Danio rerio: one gene and its partners. The protein of the gene in region 2 purifies or fractionates together with the protein of the main gene of each other region. This does not show direct contact. Links are inferred from orthologs where the notes say so. Each region holds a gene or a part of one and is shown on either strand. Other genes may lie near its edges.

Region 1 (4,614 bases), on a different chromosome or scaffold from region 2:
ATGTTCCTTTAACAAAAATTCCTATTATGTGAAGCTAAGAAAAGTGGGTTCTTGCACAATACAACAAGCCTCTGGTGTGAAAGTAACAAAACAATTTTGTTATATGAGTAATAAAAATCGTATAGTAAAATACTCACTTTAGTCAACTTGTAATGCCATTTGTGGACAACATGTCGAAAATTCTCATAGTCCAATTGATCTGCTTTGTTCCCTCCGTCGAAACCACTGGCTCGGAAAATAGTCAGGAACCCTGGGTAATTACCACATTCCTAGCAAAAGAACCAATAACAAATTAAAACTAGACAAACATAATACAGTATATAATATATATATATATATATATATATATATATATATATATATATATAAAACATTAACGTATGTATTAGGGATGTAACGGTATTGTAAATACCGTCATACCGCAATATTAATTTTTTTCGATATTACCGAAGTCGCATGACTCGGTAAAACTATAGGTCTCCTGAGAAAATTTGCTCAGGCGAATGAAGCGAACGGGACGTAGCTGAAACTTCATTTCCCATCAGCCCCGGCGTGGCCATAATCCTTTGCGGTCTGTTGTCGCTACAGATCCAGTAATGCGGAAATGGAGTGTGCTGCTAGTAGCGGAGATGAAAAAAAGATGGAAATGATCGAACCTAAAGCGGGTGTTGTCGCCGCGCGCGTGCTGAATAGCGGTGCTGTCGCGCGCGTTCTGATCAGCTGTGTTGTGGCGCGCGTTCTGATCAGCTGTGTTGTGGCGCGCGTATTGTAAAGCGCCGAGGGGGGGTTGAGCGCGCATATTCAAGAGAGGTGTTGTCGCGCGCCTACTGAAGGGCTGGACTGGACGGAGGGTGTGTCGCGTCGCGGGGGCACTTTTGATCGTTTTGGAAGGGCATTTTCTATCCAAGACTAAAAAGGGCATGTGCACTGCACAGGTTGAGCCCTATGTGTGCACGTGCCTGCAAGTTGGGGAATACGACTAATAACAGTCATGGGGACTGCAGAAACACAGCACACTGTTCAGATTGATGCAGACATTGACTTGTACTGCAAAGAGACCTCTATCTCACTCATGATTTGTCTTCTCAAGTGGGGGAAAGACAATGCACAATGTTACCCCACTGCTGTCAACCTGGGCCAAGTCATATCTCTCTTGTTCCAGAAACCTCAGTCCCAAATGAGAGGGGTTTTTTTCTGTTGCAGGGGACATTGTAAATGCCCAGAGATACCAGCTTTTACCAGATTATAATTATATGATAATTTTCCTTTAAACCCATCTCTATCTAAGTGAGTGAGTGATTAAATGTTGAATGTGATGAGTTTTCAACAATACTAAATTGAAACTTTATTTTTTTACATGGTTTAATATTTTTTTGTTATTAAAATTGAAGTTAGTGTTTCAAAGCTTACAGATAGATGGCTAATTTGTATGTCATTGACACTTTTGGCACTTTTTTTGGAGTATTTTCAAAAGTTTTTTTTTTCCTGTAAATGATTCAATAAATACCGTACCGTGACATTCATACCGAGGTATTACCGAACCGTGAAATTCTGATACCGTTACATCCCTAGTATGTATGTATGTATGTATGTATTTTTTTTATGAATTTATATATATTTTTATTTATAACAAATTTACCAGTAAGGACCTATTTACACATACAGACCTTTCCGGAAAATTGCTGGTAATTTTCCAGAAAGGTCTGTATGTGTGAAAGGGGCTCATTTCTACACGTTTCTTAAAATCAGAATAATTTATTGTTACCAAGTTTCATTTTAAAAAGACAAAATCATTTTGTTATTTAATAAGTAATTACTGCAAATTATTTTTGATTTCGTCATTTTTTTGTTTGCAAACATCTAAAAATTCACAGTTCACAGCTACTACTAGGACAGTGTAGAGACAGCATTAACAGTTTAAACGAATCATCAATCATAAAGGCACACCATACCTTCTCATAAATGGCTCTGTCACTGTGCCATCGAGTGACAGTCTCTAACATGCAACACAAAAAACGACCATATCGGCGGGACTCATTCTCTGTGCAACTCGCTACCGTATAGATGATATCAGAGAAGACCTAGATGAATAAAGAAACAGATTTAGAGGGTTAGTAGGTTGACAATGCACACAGGGTCATGGATTTTTAATGAATATAAAATGATTATAAATACTTTGAACATTTAGATAAAAACTAAATGACAGCATCAAACTTGAATGCTAGATAATACTGTATTCTCTTTGACTGCAGTCACTGGCACAGAAACACATGGCAAGCAAGCTGTTGTTTAGCAGAATTAAGGGTGCTTTCACACCTTTGAATCGATTCAGTTGTCCCGAAACAGGGATTAAAATTGTTACATTGTTGCTCTTTGCTCTTGGTCCGGTTCGCTTTCACACTGCAAAGTTTATAAACGGACCAAAAGAACTAAAACAAGTCATGTGTGAGTAAACTTTCCTCACATAGAGTCCTGCTCAGCTGTCAGGTGTGGTAGTGATTTGGTATTGTTTGACAGGGTGCACGCGACGTGTCTGAAGAGCGAGGAAGGATAAGGTGGGAAGGGGTGAGAAGGGTGTGCAACGTATTTGAGGAACGGGAGGGAGATGCGTGATTTCCGGGACATTATCGCTCGTTTACGGGCATCCTGGAGTCTCTGTGCATTTGCGGCAGACCTCCGAAACTTCTGGGAGACTTGGGATGTCTGTTGAATGACCTCCCGCCCTACTAATAATTTTCTTCATATAGCCATATGCCTATTATAATATCCATAAAACACTGTGATATGACTGGGCACGGATCGTATCGCTTTCTCGCTACAATCGATCCACTCCAGAGTTCGTTTCAATCGAGCCAAGACCATCTCGGAGCTATTGTTTTGGCGCAGATCAGAGCGCGATTGGTGGTTTCACATATGCCAAACGAACCGCGCTAACTCTGCAAAATGAGACGGGTTCCGAAACAAAAGTCTAGGTGTGAAAGCACCCTAAGATGGCATTTTCATGAAGAGATTACACAACTGAGCATAGCTGTGATCGTCATGCACATCTTGTCAGGGAATCACAGTTGTGTGATCAATAGTAAATCTACCAAGGTCAGAGGGCACTTCAGCATGAACAATAATTACATAATTACAGAATAATCTAAAAGAAGCATTTATTTTAGATACTCCTCATTTGTAGTAATTTCACATGCAAAATTTACTACACAGCCCTAATTCATTGAGAAACAATACAGACACCTCTCATTATCTCGGTGTCCTTACTGTCCAACTAAATCAGTTTTGACTTTGTAGCTTGTCCATTTGGTTTATTTATTGCCACATCAGCAACTTATTGCCATTGGATGGCATAATCAATAGACATTAAACATTAAACAATTGACATTTTCATGTCAATATATGATAAATAACTAAAAATTCTCCCTGGGTATATATTTTAAATTTGTTGGTTTATGAAGTATGATTTTGAGAAGTAAATGCTATTCTGAAAGCATGTGCTGGAGGTTTACTACAAGCAGCTTTATAAACAAAATGCACATGAAAATCCACTCCAATTAATTGCCCAGGAAAGCCCAGACCAAACACACACACACAAACAAATATATATTTTATAGCCTGTTTGTTGAAAGTGCCTTTAATGGTCTGTCATACAACAGTAGACTCACTCTGTCATAGCAAAGTAGGGTGCAGAAGTTGGGCGTTTTCTGCTGGTGAACCAGCTCCACAAAGCGAGCGCAGTAAACAGCATCAATGGCTGAGAAGACACAACGGGGGAAGATGCAGAGCTGAAGGAACTTAGTGATGGTTTCATTCTTAGTGGATTCTGAGGAGGGAAAAAAAGGCATGAGTCCAAAAAAAAAAAAAAAAAAAAAAAAACCTGAGCACAAAAGAGATTATTCAAACACTCACTGGCGAGTAACCAATTGTCTTTCTCCAGTTTGAGACGATGCAGAACTCTCTGCACATGCTCCAACTGTTTCTTCTCCTCTTCTTGTAGCTTGTCCTGCAGAGCTGTACAGCGTTCCTTCTCCTTTTTCTTTTTATTTGGAGGCTACAATGTAGAGAACAGTTTTATGAGAAATATCTGATGGAAGAAAGACCCAAAGATTCAGCAGTGTCTCTAGCTATGTTATGGTGTTAGAAATATACAAGAAATTGAAAATATCTAAAAAAAAATTAAAAATAAAAAACAATGAGCTGAAAAATCAATCTGGAGAGTTTGATCGGCAGTTTCCACAACTGCCAATACAGAAGAGCTGATCAGATGACACAAAATGCATGAGACATTTTTTTTCATAATGCAAGCATGGCAGTTCTACAAGGTCTGTGAAATATGTCTTATGTGCTTATGCAGCAGACTGTGGCTGCATCCGAAACCACCTACTACTCAGTAGGTACTGCATTTGAATTTAAACGTACTACTCGGTCGTTAGAAAAGTACGTTCTATACAGTATGAATGTGAAAGTATGAATGGAATTCGGACGTACTACATCCGCCTTTTCATCATAGTCACGCAACCTACCTGCGTAATTTGTGTCGCTTCACTCCCATTCATGAATTCTCTCGCAGGGCATCATGGGATAGCGCAGTGTGCATGGGATGCGCACTCCAGA
Region 2 (5,413 bases):
CATCCTGAGTGCTCATGTCATCGACTCCACTCATGTGTAGAGCTTCCAGACGCACTTTCGGGATCACTAAAGAGAGAGAAAACACAGTCTGTAAGAGCGGGAGAGATGCGAAATCAAAATATGAACTAGGGTGATGTCATTTTTAAACAAAATCTTCCAAAAACGAGGTCCATTTATAAGATTTTATAGGTGGCACGGTGGCTCAGTGGTTAGCACTGTCCCCTAACAGCAAGAAGGTCGCTGGTTTGAGTCCCAGCTGGGCCAGTTGACATTTCTGTGTGGAGTTTGCATGTTCTCCCCGTGTTCACGTGGGTTTCCTCCGGGTGTTCTGGTTTCCCCCACAGTCCAAATACATGTGGTACAGGGGAACTAAATCAACTAAATTGTCTGTAGTGTATGAGTGTAAATGTAAGCGTGTATGGGTGTTTCCCAGTACTGGCTTGCGGCTGGAAGGGCATCCACTGTGTAAAACATATGCCGGTGTAGTTGGCAGTTCATTCTCCAGTGGTAACCTCTAAATATGAGACTAAGCCAAAGGGAAATAAATGAATGATCATGTTGTTTTAAACTAACCTACTGTCTTGCATTAACCGTGGAATTCAAAAGTAGATGTTTTAAAGAATGATCACACTGCTCCTTTCCATTTTACAGAAATACAGAGTTTTGAACTATATTCTATAAGTGTGCAACAGATCACAGTAGATCCATGTATGGATCGCAACCCATTGTTCAGCATGCAGATTAGCTACAGATTAATAACTTTTTATTTAATTTAAATTTAAATATTTAACAACTGCACAGAAAATAACGGTATGTTCTGCTAATTATGCTCAGCGTAAGTCAGTGTTTATCAACCAAACTCCTAAAGGACCACCAGCATTGCATCCTTTGTCTGTTACACCATTTCAGATCCTTCAGTCTCTGCTAATAGGCCGATGATCAGAATCAGGCGTGTTTGGTTAAGGAGACATTGAAAATTTGGAGAGATGGTGGTCATCCAGGAACATGGTTAAGAAACACAGAAGTTGAAGTTTACAGGAATGGGAGAGAATATCTCAAAGCCTCTTTCCGTGCTAAAAATCTCATGTATTGGAGTATTTTTGCTATTTTGTAGAATTAAATGATGGTGGAAGAAGGGTGGTGGACACAGCTGGTACACTGTGTGAGACACTAGGTTCTAGAATCCTTTTAAGTAGGCTTTGTCTCAATAGTATCTGTCTGTGGACTGCAAGACGGGCATAACTTGTGGTAAGATAGAGGCGTAACCTGCAGTTATCGAGATTCCATTGAACCATGCGAGATGTCACAATGAGATGTTGTTGGCAAGATGGTGGAAATATTTACCAGAGAACATTTACACCAAATGTTTTCATAAGTTTTCTTCAAATTCTCTTGATATATTATTATATTCATTCATTTAGTAACTCCACCAGGCAACTTTTTTTCAAATATGAAAGCCTCTTTAACTCGTGACTGTACGTAAATAACTGTGATGGTTGGATTTAGGGTTGTGGAAGGTGTAGATGGATAGGAATAGACGTTTATTACAATGATGGTTGGGGAAGTTGTAGACGTTAATAACTATGATGGTTGGGTTTAGGGAAGGAGTAGTCGTTATTAACGATAATGGTTGGGCAAGGTGTAAAAGTTAAGAGCTATGATGGTTGCGCTTAGGTTTGGGGAAGATGTAGATGTTAATAATGATGATGGTTAGGGAAGGTGTAGATGTTAATAATGATGATGGTTGGGTTTAGATTTGGGGAACGTTGATGGTTGGGCAAGGTGTAAACGTTAAGAGCTATGATGGTTGGGTTTAGGTTTGGGGAAGATGTAGATGTTAATAATGATGATGGTTGGGTCTAGATTTGGGGAAGGAATAGACATTTATAACGATGATGGTTGGGGAAAGTCCAGACGTTAAGAACTATGATGGTTGGGTTTAGGTTTGGGAAAGAAGTATATGTTAATAACTATGATGGTTGGGTTTAGATTTGGGTAAGGAACAGATGTTAATAATGATGATGGTTGGGGAAGGTGTAGACGTTAGTAACTTTGATGGTTGGGTTTAGGTTTGGGGAAGATGGAGACGTTAATAATGATGATGGATGGGAAAGGTATATACGTTAATAATTATGGTGGTTTGGTTCAGGTTTGGGGAAGGAGTAGACGTTTATAACGATGATGGTTGGGGAAGGTATAGACGTTAAGAACTATGATGAATGGGGAAGGTGTATGCGTTAATAATTATGATGGTTTGGTTCAGGTTTGGGGAAGGAGTAGATGTTAATAACTATGATGGTTGGGTTTAGGTTTGGGGAAGGAGTAGACATTAATAACGATGATGGTTGGCTTTGGGCATGAAGTAGGTGTAAAATGTTAATAACTGATGTACAGCACCATCTTGCCAACAACACAGTTTTGATGTGGGTCTCCATAACTTCAAGTGACGCCCTATCATGTGACACCCCTGTCTTGCAGTCTGTAGACAGAACCTACTCCTATGTCTTACTATATCCTATACATATGCTAATAAGAGCTAAAACACAAGTTCAGACATTCAGAAAACAGATATAGTTTTCACTTCATGTTGAGTGTAAATCCTGTGTTGATCTACAGCTGTGTAGAATTCTCACTTTTCTTCAACAAATCCCGCTCCAGAACCACATCCTTCTGTGTCAGATTTTCCTCTGCACGAAAATGAAATCTTCTTGCTCGCTTCTCCTTCTTCTCAATGGCCTCCTGTGCACATGTAAACATGGTGAACAACAGATCCATCAATAGACATCCTGATAATTCACACAGACAGCTGACACTTACTTTAGACGTGACATCAATGCCAGTGATGAAGGTGCCAGCCTTATTTTCATATCGCCGGCTGGTGTCCTGTGGAACCATACATAATCTCATTGAGATCCATGAGGGCAGCAAATACACCTAAATATTTTCAGTAGTCGGTCTTGGAACGTGTTACCTAAAATGCAGCTTTGTACCATGATCAACAATCACCATAATGCATCAAACAGTGCGCCAAATGAAAAGTCTGTTAGTATCAGGAAACTTGGCCCAGAGAATTTTAAACACTTTCATAAGATCTTCCGAAATAACAGACCAACTGCACACATTATACCAATGTTGCAGAACTAATTACAAACGCATTGTTCAAAAGCAGAATGTACTCTCTTGCTCTTAACTACCCACCGCATTGGCTTCAACAACCGTCGGCTTCCTGTGCTACGCGAGGTCGCGGTTTGAATGAGGCCTACGGGGTAACTCACCGGCAACAGCTCCTTTAAACTTCGGCGAACAGGTATGGACTCCAGTTCCACCTCTCCTTCCTCCACCTCCATGGGTTCCGCTTCTCGGGCATCTCGATCCGAGTCTGATTCTGAGTCGGACTCTGAGCGATCGGACGCGCTGTCGGACTTGACGGACACCCGCAGGCTGCGCACCGCCGCCATGATCGTCGAAACGAGCTAGCGGCTAACGGCTAAATCTCAAAGGGGTGAATGGAGAAGCAGAGGCTACACTGCACGACTCTCTCAAACACACACGCTCATACACACACACACACCGCCCAGATGACAGACACTGGTGGATTGAGACCCGCCCTCCAACACTAGATGCATATATGCAGCTGCGATACACTGAAAACGGATTACAGTATATGTGTGCATGTATGCGTTACCGTTAGTAGTATAACGTTATAACGTTAGATTTTAAATGATGCTAATTTATCACTCAAACTAAACTAGACTAACTAACCTCAAGTCATGCTTTACAAGTAGATTTTCTGTGTGAAAAGTTAAAAGAAATGCTTTAGGGACACTTTTAAGGCAATTATTTTAATAATTAATCAATAATAATAAATGTATTTTAAGTAAGAATTTGTCAGAATTCATATTGTCTGTGATGAACAAACAATTACACTCAAATGTAGACTATTTGGATACAATAAATGTTTTTTTCTAAATAGCATTTTGTATAATATAATAAATTAAAATTTGTGTGCTTATTAGTGTGCTAATTATAATTAATAATTATATTATTTCATCCTTTTTACCTAACCCCAGAGCTATCTATCTATCTATCTATCTATCTATCTATCTATCTATCTATCTATCTATCTATCTATCTATCTATCTATCTATCTATCTGTCTATCTGTCTGTCCGTCTGTCCGTTCAATGCAAGATTAAAATTAGATTAATTCTAAATGGTAGTATGTAACTGACTACAAATTACTTGATGAAATGTATCAGTAAAGTAATCTAGTGTATTCTAACTACATTTGGATTACTTTTGGCCAAACTTTAATCTACTTTTGGTCTGTCTGTCTGTCTATCCATCCATCCATCCATCCATCCATCCATCCATCCATCCATCCATCTATCCATCTATCCATCTATCTATCTATCTATCTATCTATCTATCTATCTATCTATCTATCTATCTATCTAAAAGTAATCTAAAAGTAATCCAAATGTACTCAGAATACACTAGATCTATCTATCTAGTGTATTCTGAGTACATTTGGATTACTTTTAGATTACTTTTGACCTAACTTTGTAGCCTAATAGCGTTGTATTACTAATGTTGTCCCCAAATTTAATGATTGGGTCATAAATTAATTTACATTTTCTATGAAATTTTATATTGTCATTTTTCAAATTATATCAAACACAAAATAAGTTTTAGAAAAAAAAAACAATAAAGGGGAAAGAGAGCAAATTATGAATGAATTGCAGTGAATGATCTGTCATTTTCAACCCATAAAAAAGTACATTTAATACGAGCTGATTAAAGTAAAACAAACTATGTGTAAAAGACAAGCATTTGGCTGCTTTCTGACTATCCATTATTCTGTTTTCACCATTGATTTAGATTTTTCGATTGATCTTATTTTCAGATATAAACTGTTCTACATAACAAAAAAGTCAGCTACATCATGGACGGCCTGAGGGTGAGTATTAAAATTAATTTTAATTTATATTAAACATCTAAATAATCCTCTGAGCCACCATACACACTTGAAACAGACTGATAAAACTGATATAATTAAATCAGGAGACCTTACAGAAGCTCCAACATAATCAACACCAAAGCAAAATACAATATATTTATTTAACAAAATCAACAGTGCCATACAGAAACCTTTACACATGTAGCAGTACAATCAGAGAGAAATAAATTAGCACAGCTCAATTTATTAAGCAATAAAACAAAGAAACCCTTTTAATACCAGAAACAAAATGGAGAATTCCCTCTAAAAGTGTCACACTTTGCACTTTTGAGCCATTTGTAACAACAAAGTTTCCTTCCATGAATGTCCTCAATAAATATATACACATAAAAGTGATCCGTGATTCTCCATTATGTACACACAGGCGTCACTCATGGAAGTACCCATTTAAAAA
Region 3 (4,614 bases), on a different chromosome or scaffold from region 2:
GGCGGCAGCCATATTGCGCCAGACCGCACACCACACACCAGCTGATTGGTGGAGAGGAGACAGAGTGATGATATGCCAATCATGATATGGGGAGGGTTAGGAGGCCATGATGGACAGAGGCCAGTGGGCAGATTTGGCCAGGATGGCGGGGTTAAACCCCTACTCTTTTTCGAAGGACATCCTGGGATTTTTAACGACCACAGAGAGTCGGGACCTCGGTTTAACGTCTCATCTGAAAGACGGCGCTCACTGAGCAGTAAAGAGTCCCCGTCACTATACTGGGGCATTAGGACCCACACAGACCGCAGGTTGGGCGCCCCCTGCTGGCCTCACTAACACCACTTCCGGCAGCAACCTAGCTTTCCCAAGTGGTCTCCCATCCAGGTACTGACCGGGCGCAGCCCTGCTTAGCTTCAGTGGGTGACCATGTGAGAGTTGCAGAGAGCTAGCTGTGTTATTATTAAATAACACATTTTTCTTCATTTACTTTTAATTATATGTTATTATTAATAATTAATAATATTCATCTATGTGAAGACATTGATCATGTTAATGATTTCTCACAGTAGTTGTCAAAAATGATTTAACAAGTCAGATAATTATCAATATGGAACACTTCATTTGTCTGAAATTGTTTTTTTATTATATAACTTAAAGTAATTTTCAAATTTAAACCAATGCAAGTGTGATTTAAAAATAATACCTATAAAAATATTCGATGCATCTTACTCATGTGTGGTGCTATGGTGAGCTATATTTAGAACAGGCAACTCATGTGAACCTGGCGGGCTACCTTGTGCCCAAGGGCACCAATGTTGGTGACCCCTGATTTAGAACGAAAGTCACACTTCAGAAGTGATTCATTGATTTAATTCATTTAGAAATAAAGCAAGTGACCATTTAGGTAAATGAATAATTGATGTGATTTGTACTAAAATAAACTCATTCAAACAGAAAACAGCACATTGATTCTGCAAGGAATTGAGCTCGTTTTATAATAAAATAGCAGTATAATAAAATGCTACTTTTTTTTTTTTACTAATGATACACAAACAAAGAACGAATCTGCTATTGATTTTAGGAAACAAAGGCTGATCAAAATGTTTTTCGAGTTGCACTCGCATTGTGTCCAAATGAATCAGTCGTTTTGAATGAACCACTTGCATGAATGATCCAAGAAGTCACTCATTCAAACAGGTGCTTGTCGCCACCTACTGGTGTTTAAGTGTCATGTTATAAAATGCATGACGAGCCAGAAATAGGCAATGTACCAACAGAGTATCTTCAAAATCCCCCACAATACGTCAAATTAAATTTGTCAATATAACAGACTCCTAATTTTTGCAGTGTAAACTCAGGACATATAAAGGAGTAAAAGTGTCTGTTTTTACCCAGTGAGCTGAACTGTTTGTGCAGGGCGAGACGAGACTGTAATCTTCCTCGCAGCAGTTTCATGCTCTTCTCCATATGACTGGCACTCAGAGCACTGCCCGACAGCTCCGACTGAAACAAACACTCATTACTTTAAAATTCTGAGCCCTGTCATGAGAAAAATACATTTTACAGACAATACTGATGGCCAGTGTTATTTTGCATTCAAGATTCAACAAAACAGATGAAAAAAAAAAATGATATAAAACAAGTCATTTAAATATTTAGAAAGCCACACACACGCACACACCTGTGCAGCATCAGATGAGAACTGCAGACCGCTCAGTTTCTGCACCCAAACATACGGATGTCCGAGGTCTGACACATAATCAGCGAATGTAGTGATTCTGCACAAAAATTAAATTTATTCTTCATTGTGAAGTCAAACTGTTATAAAACCACAAATCAGGAAAATTATATATATATAAAAATATCACTCAAATGTAATAATAATAATAATAATAATAACAACAACAACAACAACGACAATATAAAATGTATGTATATTTTTCATAATTTTTTTCCACAAACATCTAATAATAATAATAATAATAATAATAATAATAATAATAATAATAATAATGAGAATAATAAATAATATAAAAAAAAATCGCATAATAATATTACAAATTTCTATATTTTTTATTTAATGATGACAAATATCTTTATATTAACAATAACAATAATATAAAAACTCATAATATAAATATTATATATTTTTATTTAATATTTTTTTCAAACATCTAATAATAATTAATAAAACTCATATTAATCATACAAATTATATATTATTTTATTTAATACTTTTTTCACAAACATCTAATAAAAAAATAAATCTCATAATAATACAAAATTATACATATATTTTTTATATTTCTTCACAAACATCCTTTTAATCATAATGATCCAAAAAATCTCAGAATAATACAAAATTATATATTTTTATTTAAATTTTTTCAAACATCTTTATAATAATAAATAAATAACATAAAATGTCAATACAAAAATACATCTTTTTATTTTAAATAAATTTCAAACATCTAAAAATAATATATAATAATATAAAATCTCATAATATTAATACAAAAATTACATATTTTTATTTAAACAAAAATTTTACCATCTTTATAATAATAACAACATTATAAAATTCATAATAATACAAAAAAGAGAATTAATAATAAATAATAATTTTAAATATCCATTAATTAAATATCTGAAATTTTAACCATTGCATAAATGCCATATGAGAAGCGAACGCCATTTTCATTACAAAAGTCACAGCAGTACTGCAAAATAATATTTTAAATAAATAAATATTTAAAACAAATTAAAATATTTAAATAAACAGAATAAAACATCTGCTAAAAAACGACTACAGAAAGCATTTAAACTATTTTTCATACAACAAATGAGACAAAAAAAATTATATAAATGTTTTCAGTTTTACATTTGAAAACAAATCCAGAAAAAAATATAGATCCATGCTTTATGTATTTGCTTTTTTCAGCAACACTGATATCAATAAAAAGTGCAGACGTACCCGACTTTATCAAACTGGTAGCGGTTTGCAGGGTTTGGGGTCTCATTACCATGATCTGACGCATAAAGACAGTTCAGCAAACTCTCCGAGTTCAACAGCTCCCTGCGACAGACACACAAACACATTAGAAAACATCAACTACATAAATGATGTATATTTCTGACCTGCGGTGTCACACTGACCCTGCGCTGATGGCTCCAGACAGATCAACAGATGTAGAAACTTTGGTCTTCACAGTCAGAATGTTGAGATTCATGAGATAATAGAAATACAGATGCAGGACGCTGCCGTCTGAAGAAAGATATAATCAAGGTATAACATGATTAGATTAAACGACTAGAAGAAATGACTTTATATTCAGCAAGGATGCAGTAAATTAATCAAAAATGACCAGAACTTTTAACTCAAAGAAATTGTAATACAGCTTCCACATTAATCTTGTGGCCCATTTCCACTGAGTCGTACAGTACGGTATGATACGTGTCAGTATGGGTCACCTTTATCAGACTTGTGTTTCCACTGCTAAAAGGGTACCAATGGTGGGCGTAGTGTACAACAAAGTTTCAACTTCATTCTTGCTAGAGGAAATGTCTACTGTAAAGCTGTACGAGTTGTTCACATATCATATGAGAAGCACTTCTCACAAAACAGATGCTTTACACACATAAATACTTGTGCATGAATGTTCATTACTAACCTTTCTATTAACATGATTTGATCATAACTGCAGATCAATGATGCGAAATAACCTACTGTAACGTCTGTAATTATATAAAAATAAATAAATAAATGAACATATATGAACACATACAGACCCTTACAGTCTCCAATGTTACCAACTACAGAAAAACTACACACAGCAGACATTTAGTCCTTATTTTGGGATCAAAAACAACACATATAGCCCACAGTCAGTGCAAACCCCTCATCTGCATCTTTAATCTTGACCAGCACATGTGACCTCTGTTAGAGAGTAATTCCATCATTCTGAGTTCATAATAATCCAAAAGGCGATAATAAACTTGGCAGTTTGTTCATGTTTTAGGTTGCTGAAAGAATCATTTTTTTTCTCCTTTGTTTTTTCGGCTTCTCCTTTGTTTTTTTGCACTTCACTCTCACGTTTGCCTGTTTCTGAAAGGATGGGATGTCAGAAGCACTTCAATAATCACACACACGTTATAATCATCAGCTCAAGAAGATTGTTATTTCAAATATAGACACGTGGCGAGCACAATCGAGAAAGAGCAAGTGGGAAAACAAAACCGATCACGAATTAGATAGCCTTGTAAACAAATATGGGCCACAGGGTAGATTCTGCTCTTCTTCTTGGCTTTGTGGCTGTTCATCAAGATGACGACAAGGTTTGTTTGAGCTAGGGTCGACCATGGCATGTTATTATATGTATATCTTATTACAGTGTAATGTCTCGGCTGTGTATTTAAAAATGGTGCTGCCTTTGTTTTCATTCTCCTGGCTTGTGGCGTATCTCTGTAAACCAATAGCGTTCAGTTACGTGTCTTACTCCGCCATTTGGTATTCTTTTGTCGTGCTAGGTACCCTTTTGTTGTGCTTTGTACCCAAAAAGTAATACGGTACGGTTCGCTTTTAGATACCTTTTGACAGTGGAAACGGCCATAAAA

The links.
Region 1: the proteins of ncbp3 (region 2) and thoc2 purify together in Homo sapiens (co-immunoprecipitation; 3 studies listed by BioGRID and IntAct, with this or other methods). This does not show direct contact. The link is inferred for Danio rerio from reciprocal best matches to the Homo sapiens genes NCBP3 and THOC2.
Region 3: the proteins of ncbp3 (region 2) and thoc5 purify together in Homo sapiens (co-immunoprecipitation; 3 studies listed by BioGRID and IntAct, with this or other methods). This does not show direct contact. The link is inferred for Danio rerio from reciprocal best matches to the Homo sapiens genes NCBP3 and THOC5.

Annotation. Positions count from the first base shown.
Region 1 is NC_133189.1:13,018,256-13,022,869, reverse strand, and holds part of thoc2 (THO complex subunit 2), read right to left. Parts: intron 4,052-4,614; coding exon 3,910-4,051; intron 3,824-3,909; coding exon 3,666-3,823; intron 2,082-3,665; coding exon 1,953-2,081; intron 270-1,952; coding exon 138-269; intron 1-137. UniProt on the Homo sapiens protein: Component of the THO subcomplex of the TREX complex which is thought to couple mRNA transcription, processing and nuclear export, and which specifically associates with spliced mRNA and not with unspliced pre-mRNA.
Region 2 is NC_133196.1:33,673,364-33,678,776, forward strand, and holds the start of ncbp3 (nuclear cap-binding protein subunit 3), read right to left. Parts: upstream 3,276-5,413; 5' UTR 3,199-3,275; intron 2,983-3,198; 5' UTR 2,908-2,982; coding exon 2,818-2,907; intron 2,740-2,817; coding exon 2,634-2,739; intron 67-2,633; coding exon 1-66. UniProt on the Homo sapiens protein: Associates with NCBP1/CBP80 to form an alternative cap-binding complex (CBC) which plays a key role in mRNA export. NCBP3 serves as adapter protein linking the capped RNAs (m7GpppG-capped RNA) to NCBP1/CBP80.
Region 3 is NC_133200.1:4,395,172-4,399,785, reverse strand, and holds part of thoc5 (THO complex subunit 5 homolog), read right to left. Parts: intron 3,266-4,614; coding exon 3,157-3,265; intron 3,077-3,156; coding exon 2,975-3,076; intron 1,779-2,974; coding exon 1,682-1,778; intron 1,504-1,681; coding exon 1,392-1,503; intron 1-1,391. UniProt on the Homo sapiens protein: Component of the THO subcomplex of the TREX complex which is thought to couple mRNA transcription, processing and nuclear export, and which specifically associates with spliced mRNA and not with unspliced pre-mRNA.